Linked DNA regions of Macaca mulatta. The protein of the gene in region 3 interacts with the protein of the main gene of each other region in a pairwise test. Links are inferred from orthologs where the notes say so. Each region holds a gene or a part of one and is shown on either strand. Other genes may lie near its edges.

What was found.
Region 1: the proteins of TFIP11 (region 3) and ZSCAN12 interact in binary tests that used the Homo sapiens proteins (3 or more experiments, as listed by UniProt). The two-hybrid records come from large-scale screens. The link is inferred for Macaca mulatta from reciprocal best matches to the Homo sapiens genes TFIP11 and ZSCAN12.
Region 2: the proteins of TFIP11 (region 3) and FAM13C interact in binary tests that used the Homo sapiens proteins (3 or more experiments, as listed by UniProt). The two-hybrid records come from large-scale screens. The link is inferred for Macaca mulatta from reciprocal best matches to the Homo sapiens genes TFIP11 and FAM13C.
Region 4: the proteins of TFIP11 (region 3) and KANSL1 interact in binary tests that used the Homo sapiens proteins (3 or more experiments, as listed by UniProt). The two-hybrid records come from large-scale screens. The link is inferred for Macaca mulatta from reciprocal best matches to the Homo sapiens genes TFIP11 and KANSL1.

Annotation. Positions count from the first base shown.
Region 1 is NC_133409.1:154,952,451-154,955,950, forward strand, and holds part of ZSCAN12 (zinc finger and SCAN domain-containing protein 12), read left to right. Parts: intron 1-31; coding exon of another isoform or gene 32-65; coding exon 66-210; intron 211-1,691; coding exon 1,692-2,980; 3' UTR 2,981-3,500. UniProt on the Homo sapiens protein: May be involved in transcriptional regulation.
Region 2 is NC_133414.1:90,577,646-90,580,138, forward strand, and holds the end of FAM13C (protein FAM13C), read left to right. Parts: intron 1-188; coding exon 189-312; 3' UTR 313-1,993; downstream 1,994-2,493. Other genes in the region: PHYHIPL (phytanoyl-CoA hydroxylase-interacting protein-like), read right to left, coding at 2,326-2,493.
Region 3 is NC_133415.1:25,062,731-25,066,372, forward strand, and holds the end of TFIP11 (tuftelin-interacting protein 11), read left to right. Parts: intron 1-119; coding exon 120-262; intron 263-751; coding exon 752-917; intron 918-2,465; exon of another isoform or gene 2,466-2,710; coding exon 2,711-3,066; 3' UTR 3,067-3,142; downstream 3,143-3,642. Other genes in the region: SRRD (SRR1-like protein), read right to left, coding at 3,409-3,618. UniProt on the Homo sapiens protein: Involved in pre-mRNA splicing, specifically in spliceosome disassembly during late-stage splicing events. Intron turnover seems to proceed through reactions in two lariat-intron associated complexes termed Intron Large (IL) and Intron Small (IS).
Region 4 is NC_133421.1:70,930,607-70,933,124, forward strand, and holds the end of KANSL1 (KAT8 regulatory NSL complex subunit 1), read right to left. Parts: intron 2,297-2,518; coding exon 2,069-2,296; 3' UTR 501-2,068; downstream 1-500. UniProt on the Homo sapiens protein: Non-catalytic component of the NSL histone acetyltransferase complex, a multiprotein complex that mediates histone H4 acetylation at 'Lys-5'- and 'Lys-8' (H4K5ac and H4K8ac) at transcription start sites and promotes transcription initiation.

The sequences.
Region 1 (3,500 bases), on a different chromosome or scaffold from region 3:
CAAATGTATACTTTTTGTTTTCTGTTATCAGAGTGAGTCTGTCAGCTACATCTCATTTTCCTCAGGTCTCAGCCCACACTGGGGAACATGAAATGTTCTTGCAGAAGATGGTACCTCTAGGAAAAGAAGGAGAACCCAGTATGCCCCTCCAGTCCATGAAAGCCCAGCTAAAGTATGAATCTCCAGAACTTGAATCCCAACAGGAGCAAGGTAAAGAAGAAAGATCCATCTTGGGAGGAAGGGGAAGATGGGTAACATAGGACACTGGGGCTTTTTTGTACTTGCTACTGTTTCTGATCATTAAAGTCAAAAAGGCCCTCTCTGAATCTGATGGCTCATACATAGACTCTCAGATGGCCTGGTTTGTCACTCTTCAACCCTTACTTTCTTGTATATTCATATTCTTCTAAATTCTGGCTTTAACACTTAATTTAGTCCTTCTGATACATTCTCTCTCTTTATACTGACCTCCTTGCTATTTTTTTCTTTCTTTTTTTTTTTTTTTGAAACGGAGCCTCGCTCTGTTGCCCAGGCTGGAGTGCAGTGGCGCGATCTCGGCTCACTGCAAGCTCCACCTCCCGGGTTCACGCCATTCTCCTGCCTCAGCCTCCCCAGTAGCTGGGACTACAGGCGCCCGCCACCACGTCCGGCTAATTTTTTTGTATTTTTAGTAGAGATGGGGTTTCACCGTGTTAGCCAGGATGGTCTCAATCTCCTGACCTTGTGATCCGCCTGCCTTGGTCTCCCAAAGTGCTGGGATTACAGGCGTGAGCCACCGCACCCGGCCTACCTCCTTGCTATTTTTAGCTTTTATCCTATCAGACAATACCTCTATCTTCCACTTGCACTATATCCTTTCTGCTTCATTAAATAAGACTTTGCTCCATTATTTCTGCAACCAACTTTCAGATGGTTCAAGAAAAAAAAAATTGTATACTTACAAAGAAAAGGAATAACAGGCTGGGTGTGGTGGCTCACACCTGTAATCCCAACACTTTGGGAGGCCAAAATGGGTAGATCACGAGGTCAGGAGTTCGAGACCAGCCTGACCAACATGGTGAAACCCTGTGTCTACTAAAAATACAAACATTCGCTGGGTGTGGTGGCACATGCCTGTAATCCCAGCTACTTAGGAGGCTGAGGCAGGCGAATCGCTTGAACCCAGGAGGCGGAGGTCGCAGTGAGCTGACATCACGCCACTGCACTCCAGCCTGAACGATAAAGCAAGACTCTGTCTCAAAAAAAAAAAAAAAAAAGAAAAAATAATAAAACAAATGTTACAAAATATTAAAAGTTCATGAATGTGTGAAAGATCCACTACCTTATTTCTGCTTTCTCTGCATCTGTTTCATTTTCATTTAATTTTTTAAGTAGGTAAAAATGTACATGGCTCAAAAACAAAATGTTTTAAAGTTATTTAATGAAAAGTTTCTATTCCACTTGATTTTCCCAGCCACCTAGTCTCTTCCTCCTACTCTGAAATAGGCTGTAACTGTTACTAATTTTTTGTGTGTCCTTCCAGATATTTTTTGATGCATATATGTTTTCCATATTGAAACAAATATATTTTCCTCTCTTTATCACTAAGATGGTAGAGTCTTGCATTTTTAATTTCCTAACAGCTGCTTAATATTAAAATGTATGGATACATTTTAAAGGTACAAAAGGTAACATTTATGATCCCTTCTTAGTTTTAGATGTTGAGACTGGAAATGAGTATGGAAATTTAAAGCAAGAAGTTTCTGAAGAAATGAAACCACATGGGAATACATCCAGTAAATTTGAAAATGATATGTCCCAGTCTGCTAAGTGTGGAGAAACTCATGAACCTGAAGAAATAACAGAAGAGCCCTCTGCATGCTCCAGAGAAGATAAACAACCTACCTGTGATGAAAATGGAGTAAGCCTGACTGAGAACTCTGACCATACTGAGCATCAGAGAATCTGTCCAGGAGAAAAATCTTATGGATGTGATGACTGTGGAAAAGCTTTTAGTCAGCACTCACACCTCACAGAACATCAGAGGATCCATACTGGAGACAGACCCTACAAATGCGAAGAATGTGGAAAAGCTTTCCGTGGGAGAACTGTGCTTATTCGACACAAAATAATACACACTGGAGAGAAACCATATAAGTGTAATGAGTGTGGCAAAGCCTTTGGCCGGTGGTCAGCTCTTAACCAACATCAGAGACTTCACACAGGAGAAAAACACTATCACTGTAATGACTGTGGCAAAGCCTTTAGTCAGAAAGCAGGCCTCTTTCACCACATCAAGATCCACACAAGAGACAAACCTTATCAGTGTACTCAGTGTAATAAAAGTTTTAGTCGGCGTTCCATACTTACTCAGCATCAAGGAGTTCATACCGGCGCGAAGCCCTATGAGTGCAATGAGTGTGGAAAAGCCTTTGTTTATAACTCATCCCTTGTTTCCCATCAGGAAATCCACCACAAAGAAAAATGCTATCAGTGTAAGGAATGTGGGAAATCCTTCAGTCAGAGTGGCCTTATTCAGCATCAGAGAATTCACACTGGGGAAAAACCCTACAAATGTGAGGTATGTGAAAAAGCCTTTATTCAAAGGACAAGTCTTACAGAACATCAGCGAATTCACACTGGAGAAAGACCCTATAAATGTGATAAGTGTGGGAAGGCATTTACTCAAAGATCGGTCCTCACGGAACATCAGAGAATTCACACTGGAGAAAGGCCCTACAAGTGTGATGAGTGTGGGAATGCCTTCCGAGGAATCACCAGCCTCATTCAGCATCAGAGAATCCACACTGGGGAGAAGCCCTACCAATGTGATGAGTGTGGAAAAGCCTTCAGACAGAGGTCAGATCTTAGTAAACACCAGAGCATCCATAATAGAGGTGGTCCCTATGTATGTAAAGAGTGTGGGAAATCATTCAGGCAGAACTCAGCTCTTACTCAACATCAGACTATCCACAAAGGAGAAAAATCTGTTTCTGTGTGATGACTACAGGGAAGTTATCTCACAGAGTTCAGGCCGGTGAGAAATACTATTTAGCTTTACAATTATTGGGGTAAAACTTCAGTCACCATTGTTACAGGGAAACCTCAGATATTTAATAAGAATTCAGTACGTGCTGCCCATTGTATTAGGTGCTGTGGAGAACAAGAAGATAACCCCAAACTCTTTTCTCAGAGAGTTTATAGCCTAGTTTGGGATAGATAAGATCCACATATTTAGTTAAATAAGACTACAGGAGAGTAGAATAGATGCACAAGTCGGTGTTGAATAAAAGTGGTACTTTGTAGCCTGTAAGTGCTGTAAATTCTAAAGGACAGGTTACTTTTGCCTGGAGTGGTGAAGAAAGATTTTATTTAAAATAAGGATTTGATGGACAGACTTAGCAGTCACAAGGGAGAAAATGGGTAAAACAAATGTAAGCCAACTTAAGAGTGCATGTGGTTTGGAAGCATCAGGGAAAAAACTAGCCAACCTGAAGTAAAAGGTTCATGCAAATTGGGCA
Region 2 (2,493 bases), on a different chromosome or scaffold from region 3:
CTGTTATTTAGAAGTTTAGTAACACATGGAAGAAGGAGTGAATGAAGGTGAAAGGGAAGGAAAAGAAGACATGATGCAAAAACCAAGTGGAAGCTGTCACAGTATACTTTCTCATGTATGAATTATAAAAGAATATTTAATAATGACTTGATTCATTGTGAACTAATAAATGTATTTTTGTTTTGCAGAAGTCCACAAAAGGAAGATAGGATACCAATGGCAGATGAGTATTACGAATATAAGCACATAAAAGCCAAACTGAGACTATTAGAGGTCCTCATCAGCAAGCAAGATGTGGCCAAAACTATTTGAGGTTCGGGAAATGTTATGATCACTTTCACCCATGATATAAAGTAAAGTTTATTTTCCTCTGCCATCCTTGCTAAGTAGTTTTGACACAATGAAAATGGAAGCACTTTAGTGGTAGTATTAGCTGTTTTCAAGAAGGAATAGCAAGTTTAATTATATACAAGGAGAAGGGATTTAAATGGGGGGAAGGATACAACAGGTAGCCTTATAATTGGGAAAAAATTCAGTGTCCTCCATGCCAAGCAGAAAACTCATAGTCAATACAAGTATTTTAAAAAATGTCTAATATTTTATCAAATCTAAATAACATAGCTAGGATGCTTGTTAGGGAAAGTTTATTTAGTATCCAAAGATTGTTTATGTTGATGTATGGAAAAGAGCATGATTTTTAAAAATCAATCAGAGGAGGAAAAGAAATTCTGCTTTTCAAGTAGGAAGGAATGTACCTAGCAAGAAAGTAATTTATTTGAAACTTCTAATGGATTTTTGAGTGATAAAACATTTACTACCTTGTCCTTTAAGTCTGCTAGGCTCTCAGTACCCTAAAATAACCTAGATTGTGTTACTGCTATTTTTTTTATTTCTCTATAAAAATAACACATTATTTTATCTGGTATTTGAAATTTTACATTTCTGGTTACCAAAGTTCATTCTGATAGCATGTACTTTGTGAATTATTATCTTTGTCTATAACTGACAGATGTTTATATTAAAATAAAATATTGTATTAAAAATTTAAAATAGGTATTTTGGATAGATATGTGTCTGCAGTATATAATCTAATATGTCCATAGTATTATTGCTAATCTTTTTGTTTACTATAAGATGATATAACTATTTTTTCATTGGGAATATACATTTTTCTTAATGTTCCAACATCTATACTTTGTAAAGTCAAAACATTTCCCATGAGCTGTAGTTATTCTTCCTTCTGTACAAAATGAAAGGTTTGGAAATTGCCCTGATACCTTGAAAAAGAAGCCAGAATATTTATTTGCTTCATCAACTTTAGTGTATATCATTTTGTGTTATTTTATACTAAAACATGTTTATTATTTTCATTTTTGTAAAAGGAAGTAAAAGGTCAACATTTTCCCTCATGTACCAACCTTGTTTGTATTTCTATTTTCTGTAACATTTAAGTATGATGTTGAAGAAATTCACATTTTCTTATAGTTTGGATGGGAAGACTATTGACTATTTCAGAAACAGACTATTTCAGAGGCTTATTGTTTTCTCTGTATTTACCTAATATTTTATAACTTTTATGAATCAGAATAATGTCCTTCATACATTTGTTTAATTGAAGTCATCTACTTGTAACAGGACAGATACACAACTATTTGAGGTTTACAAATTACATCTTTGATAAGGGAAATGGTTTCGTGACATGTACACAATTGCTATTAAAATGTAACTCTATATATTCTATATGATTGTAAATATTTTATACAACAATACAAATAAAATATTTTTCTATTATATTTATTATGTTGAAACACAGTAGTTGTTTCCTGTTAGCTAATATAAATAACATAAATAACACTGTCAAACAAGAAGTTGGAAGTGCTGACAATTCTAGGCTTCAAGATTTAACTCATGCTGCAATTACACCCTTTCATGCGGTTTGGAGTTATCCCAATATTTGTTCAGTAGATTAAAATGAATGCATATTTAAACACCATTTATAAGCCATTATTGTGTACTTTGCTAAAGCGGTCTATATAACTGTTTTGTTATGTTTGGCATAAAGGAAACATAAAAACATTGCAGCATCTAGGCAATAAAGTGTCAGAAGGAGAACTTAGGGTATTTCATCATTGAAAGTAGTGGGAGGGGTAGGGAATAGGAAAACACTAAAATGGCTCTGAATGGAATTTGGAAAGTGGTAGTTCGTTTTTGGTGACAGTGGCATGTGCATGCTTCAGTGGAAAACATCTGGTGATGAAAAGGGACAACAGGACCAATGCTCCTAATGGAGGAAAAGGGGCTGAGTAAGAATAAGAAAAGTGGGCATTAACGTCCAACACTGATATTACAGGTTTTGCAGCTGGGATCTTTCTTTGCATTTGCCGTAGACAAACTCATGAGCTGATGACCAGTGATTTCTGCCACGGTGCCCAGAGAAAGATCCACAGGGTCAGTGTAAATGACTTCTAAAATGACATCCTGGGCATGGTGGTA
Region 3 (3,642 bases):
ACCCAGGAGGTGGAGGTTGTTGTGACCTGAGAGGAAAACGGACATTATCTTTGCTCTTTGTGCTTCTGTGGCTTTGCCAGTACTAAAGCTGTGCCTTATAGACCGGGTTTCTCTTCCAGGGATGTGTCTTGGTGAGCTAGTCATTAACCCCCACCAGCAGCACATGGATGCATTCTATTGGGTGATCGACTGGGAAGGGATGATCTCTGTCTCTAGTCTGGTGGGACTTCTTGAAAAGCACTTCTTCCCCAAGTGGCTTCAGGTACACTGTTTTGCTTGGCTTTCTGGGGGAGGGAACTGAGTGGGGATTAAGTTAATTTTCTGCCGAGGCCTGACTGTAGGTACAATTCCATAATAAAAATGAATTACATGGTAGGGTAGGAATGAGTTAGGTCATCTTAATAGTGGCCACCATTTATTGGACATTTGCTACGTATCAGAAGCTGTTCCAAGCACTTTATTTGCTTTATCTCAGCTCCTCGCAGCAACCCTATGGGGTAGGGGCTATGGTATCCCTGTCGTGTAGACATGGAAGCGGAGCTCAGAGAGTTTACATGCAAGGGCACTTTAGCTACCAGGCTGACTCCAAAATCCATATTCGTAAGTCCTAGACTGTTTAGCTACTATAAATCCCTGTAAAGTGGTGTCACTAGCCTGCAGGACCAGGATCAAAACAAAACAAATGGCCCCTTCGGAAATCTTGCCTTCATTTGTTGCCACCATGGATGCAAGTAATTTTTCTTTTTGGCAGGTGCTGTGCTCTTGGCTCAGTAACAGCCCAAATTATGAGGAGATCACCAAGTGGTACCTGGGTTGGAAGTCTATGTTCTCAGACCAAGTGCTGGCACATCCATCTGTCAAGGACAAATTTAACGAGGCACTTGATATCATGAACCGGGCGGTGTCCTCCAATGTTGGTAAGTGAGGATTCCCATTTTGGATGTCCTGGCCCTGAGTTTCAGATTTTACACATGTAAATGACACAGAATCAGAGTTTTCTGGTTCCTGTAGGCAGCCTAAACCTTAGGTCGCACTTTTGCCCATAGCAACAGACTCTCACCCTGCTGATTGGGGTACATGGTCAGCTGGCACCCACTGCCCAGGTCTACCATGACTGAGAGGGGCATCTTCCCTAAGGAGACTGACTTAAGCTGGATTCAGATGTCAGTCTAACCCCAGGCCCCGCCCTCTTAACCACTGTGCTGTGTGGCCTTTTAAGGCTCATTCAGCCCTGAACCCGCTGCCCAGGTCACACATCTTACAGTGTGGAGTTGGGTACACGGTCTTACACTTGGTGATTGCTCAGCCTTCATCAGCCCCATTTGACCTGTTAAACAGTAAGATCTACTTCATAGGCTAAAAGGGGGATTGAGTTCATGCTTGTTTGCAGCCTTCAATAGGTGGTGTCTGTGTTGTCAAAAACCGGCAGTTCACTCTTCATGTACTATATCTATTCCCAAGTTCTAGGCAAGTCATTCTGCCTAGATCATAAGTAAATGAAAGTATGTTTATGTTTCTACATTTGGGAGCCTATTTCAACCAGTCGTGTGCTCCAGTGTTGCTCATTAGCCGATTCACAGCATTGAAATGGGATCATCTAGTCTGTTTCACAGATAAGCCCAGTGAGGCTAAGAGCCTGTTCAAGGTCACATAGTTAAAGGGTGGCAGTTAGAACTAGAATTTCTATTTCCTGAGTCTTTAATTCTTGTTATTTAATAGTTAGCCTAGGCCAGGCGCCGTGGCTCATGCCTCTAATCCCAACACTATGGCAGGCCGAGGCGGGTCAATCACGAGGTCAGGAGTTTGAGACCAGCCTGAACAACATGGTGAAACCCCATCTGTACTAAAAATGCAGAAATTAGCCGGGCGTGGTGGCACATGCCTGTAACACCAGCTACTCAGGAGGCTGAGGCAGAAGAATCACTTGAACCTGGGAGGCGGAGGTTGTAGTGAGTGGTGGAGATCACAAGCACTGCATTCCAGCCTAGGCGACAAGAGAGAGACTCGGTCTCAAAAAAAAAAAAAAAAAAAAAGAAAAGAAAAGAAAAAAAGAAAAAATAGCCTATTCTGTGAAAACAGAGATTAAGTAATAAGGCAAATATACTTCTCTGCTTCCGTAATTATCAAGTTCTTTCTAAAAACTCTTCCTTAGCTACCCCTGGCCTCATGTTTCCAAAACTCTTCCCTGTATATACCCCTCAGTGAGCACTTAGCATTTATGGTCTTGTATTATCCTTAAACACCAATTTCAGCTCCTCAAATATACGTGAACTCCTTTCAGGATGTGGGGCCTGTGTGGGTAGGTTAAAAATAAAGCCAGTGTGGGCCTATATTTTCAAGGTACTAAAAGCTGCCTCTTTGGTGGTATGAAGTGGAAACTCTACAGGGCAAGGTGGAAACAGGAGAGTGGCTGAGGACTCTGCTGTTTCCAGCTCTGAAAGAAGAAATCCCTTGCAGATACTTCATTTTTAAATGTTGAATATTTAATAATCTCTTTGGTTACTAGATACTAGCCAGAAACCTTCTGAACAGTTTTTATGTGATACTGGCCAGTTGTCTAAACTTCCTCCAAAGTTGTATCTTTGAGGCAGAACTGCCCTTCAGTGAGTCACAAACACTCTGGCACACCCAGACCTGGGCCAAGTCAGCGTCAACTTCCATACACCTGGAAACACCTCTCCTCACTGCCCTGTCCTCCTGTATCTCTCAGGTGCCTACATGCAGCCAGGCGCGCGGGAGAACATTGCCTATCTCACCCACACGGAGCGGAGGAAGGACTTCCAGTACGAGGCCATGCAGGAGAGGCGGGAGGCTGAGAACATGGCCCAGAGGGGCATTGGCGTGGCCGCCAGCTCTGTGCCCATGAACTTTAAGGACCTCATTGAGACCAAGGCTGAGGAGCACAACATTGTCTTCATGCCCGTCATTGGGAAGCGACACGAAGGGAAGCAGCTCTACACCTTTGGCCGCATTGTGATCTACATCGACCGGGGAGTGGTCTTTGTCCAGGGCGAGAAGACATGGGTGCCCACCTCACTGCAGAGCCTGATCGACATGGCCAAGTGAACTGTGGCAGGCCCAGAGCCAGCCAGAGACTTGCCCCTGAGAGGGATGTGTTGTGAATAAACGGTATTTTAGATCACCTTCAAAAGCGTAACTTCTTTACTCGGGAGCTACTCCACATTGGGCCAGGTCACGAGGGAAGCATGTAAAGCGGGACAATGCCACTTAGCAGTGCAGGAATCTTTATACCAAGTCCTCATGGGGGGTATTGTCCTCAAAACAAGACAGCCAAGTTGATGTTCTTTCCTGGCAAAGGAGTTCTCTGTAGTTCCTCCATGGCAGCCTTCCCTTTAGTCTCCGGTGGCAGCTTCTACCTCAGCCAACACTGAGTACCTCACAGTGAGTTCAGTCAGTAGTGGAAGGATCTTCTGTCTTGTTCCTGATGATTTCAAGGTCCTCACAGTCCTGATAATCTGGTTCTTCCTGAAACTCCCAAATATCTGTGGAGAGCTGTTCTAGCTTTTGCATGGGGAACCAGTGGACAGAGGTGTCATTAAATATGTCCATGTATTGTGAAGTCTGAGGAAACTCAAGCTCCTCCAGTCCTTTTAAAATCTGAGCAGAAAAATTCAAGTGTGA
Region 4 (2,518 bases), on a different chromosome or scaffold from region 3:
TCAAAAAATAAAAAAAGAAAAGCATGTAACCTCCTCAGAAGAAAGATGCTATAATCTCAGGCAGCAGGCAAGAACCAACTCAGGCTCTATGCAAATTATCTATCTCACTGACCCCCACCAAACCTCAGAAAAATTTAACGGTGAGAAGCAAAATCTCCTTTAAAGAGCAATGTAGAACGGAGAGAAAATATCATACAGCTGACTTCACTAGAGAGAAAGTGGATCAACTGCTTTCACTCAACAAAAAGAAAAAGGAGACGATCAATACAGATCCCCTCACCTCCTGGCAGCCCTTACCCTCAGTGAAAAGCCACCACCATTGTCTCTCTGGTGGCCATCAGATGAACCTGCGGCATTCCCACAAGACAGAATGGAGATTTCCCAAGGTATAGAGCAAGTTAGAGTACCTCAAAGAATGGCACCAGCCAGCCAGCTCCGAAGCTGCCAACACTACCATACATACACAGTTCAGTAAGTCAAGAAAGGCCTGGTACACAGCATTCTGTAACTTTTTTTTTTTTATTTTTTTCAATTTTTCCTTCTTTTTTTTTTAAGCACTAGTCTGTGCTTTGCGAACAGAATCAAGACATTAACAAAGATCAGCTTCTCTGAAGAAAAGCATTTCTATAGAACAAAGACAGCTACATGTTTCGCTGCCATTACACAGCTCCAAAGCAGGAAAAGAAAATATTTACAAAATACAAGTTTTTTTTTTTTTTCATTTTTTGTTTTTGTTTTTTTTTTTTCAATGCTAAAAGGGTTATTCAGAATTTTCAACCTTATAAATAGAAGAAGCACTTTATGCATAGGGATATGGTGCATTATTGTATTTTTTCTTTAAAGAAACAATGACAAACCCTTTAACTTGCAAACAGAAAAAAAAAATCACTAATGTTGAAAATTGTGAAAAAACCCCAACCATTAAGCAGTTGTCTACTATTTTTATACGATTACAAAATGGCCAAAAAAAAAGTCTTCTCCCCCCTCCCCCTTTTTGGTGATGTGATCATACAGGAGACAGGCACAAGGTTAACAGAGAAGGGTGAAGGGGGAACAATGGGAACCACAGCTAGGACCAGACAATGTTCCACAGGCAAGGGGAGCGTGAAAGACCAAGAGTGGAACTAACACCGACAGGGATCTGGATGTGAAGGAAACATGGCAAAGCGAATCAGAGAAAAAAAAAAAAATCACACAGGGAGATGGCTGCTCACTTCCCACAACCCCGTTTGCAGGGGAGTGGGAACAGAGGTTAAGTAGTCCTAACCCTACCTTCAGAGATCAGGATAGGTGGTAAAAAAAACATTCCGAGTGGAAGGACGGGTTGTGGGTGTGTATGTGGCATTGGAGAACGGACAGGGAAGGGTACCAAGGGGCATGATGAAGGGAACCTGAGCAGCCACAGCCAGGTTACTGCAGTTAAAGAGTCAAAACAGAGAAGACCAAATGCAGATGAAACAAAAAATAGGTCTCTAAGTTCTGGGTGAGAAGGGAAAGCTGTTCTGCCGGCTGAGCACTTGGTGAGAGCAGCTGGCAGTTACGGCAGAGAGGCTCTGGTGGGGATGTTCCAGCACGAAAAACCAAGGGGGGACCCAGCCAGGAGGGCCACAGCTGAGCCCAGCCACAGATGGGAGGGGAAGGGGTAAGAGCCCAGAGCACCCTGCCCCATTCCACCCTAGCCCGAGAAGGCCATGCTCAACTGGAGCCCTCTGCCCGCCAGGCTGTTCTGCCCTGCCCACAGGTGTGAGGGAGGGGGTGTGGTCATCTAAGATTGGTAAGTCCAGTGATTCAACAGTGCAGAGGATGTGCCAGGACCAGGCCAGCAGGGTCTCATCCTGAACTTCTGTTTGCCAACGGGAGGAAGTGCTCAGGTGTGTGACAAGAAAACATGGAAACAAAAAACAAAAATTAAAACGAGAGAAAAAAATACCAAAGTAGGATCTAAATTCCTTAAGTTCACTAAAAACTGTGAAAATTTCCGGCATATGATGTTTGAATATCAAACGCAGAGATTTCTGAAGCTTTAATGCCAATAGTTAGTGAGTCTGTTTAGATTCTTGTCTCCCGCTCATCTGTGAGTTGGGCGCTGAGCTGTGGCTGCTGCCACCAGATGCCGACTCTTGAGGGGGACAGTGGGAGGCGAGGTGGGTGCCGCCTCTGTCTCCCGGCCAGTCTTGCTGCCTGAGGTGCGTCGAGTGCAGCGGGCTGCTCGCTCCTGTGCATCCAGCTGGTCCTCACACTCCGCCTGGGGACTGTGCGCCAGGGGGAAGGTCCGCCGCTCCCAGGGCTGGACAGACTGTAGGCAGACAAGTTGCTCTGTGAGGACCCAGACCCAGCCAGCCTGCTTCCTGCTCCAAGGCCCTGCCACAAACCTTGTGGCCGGAGACTAGGACCAGTCTATCTAGCGTTCCTGGGACAGTCCAGGAACACCCCTCCTAGGGTGTACCCAGACAACCGTACTGACCATTTAGCAAAGATAAATATAGTTCCACTGAATGTTGAGGAGGTCAATTTAAGT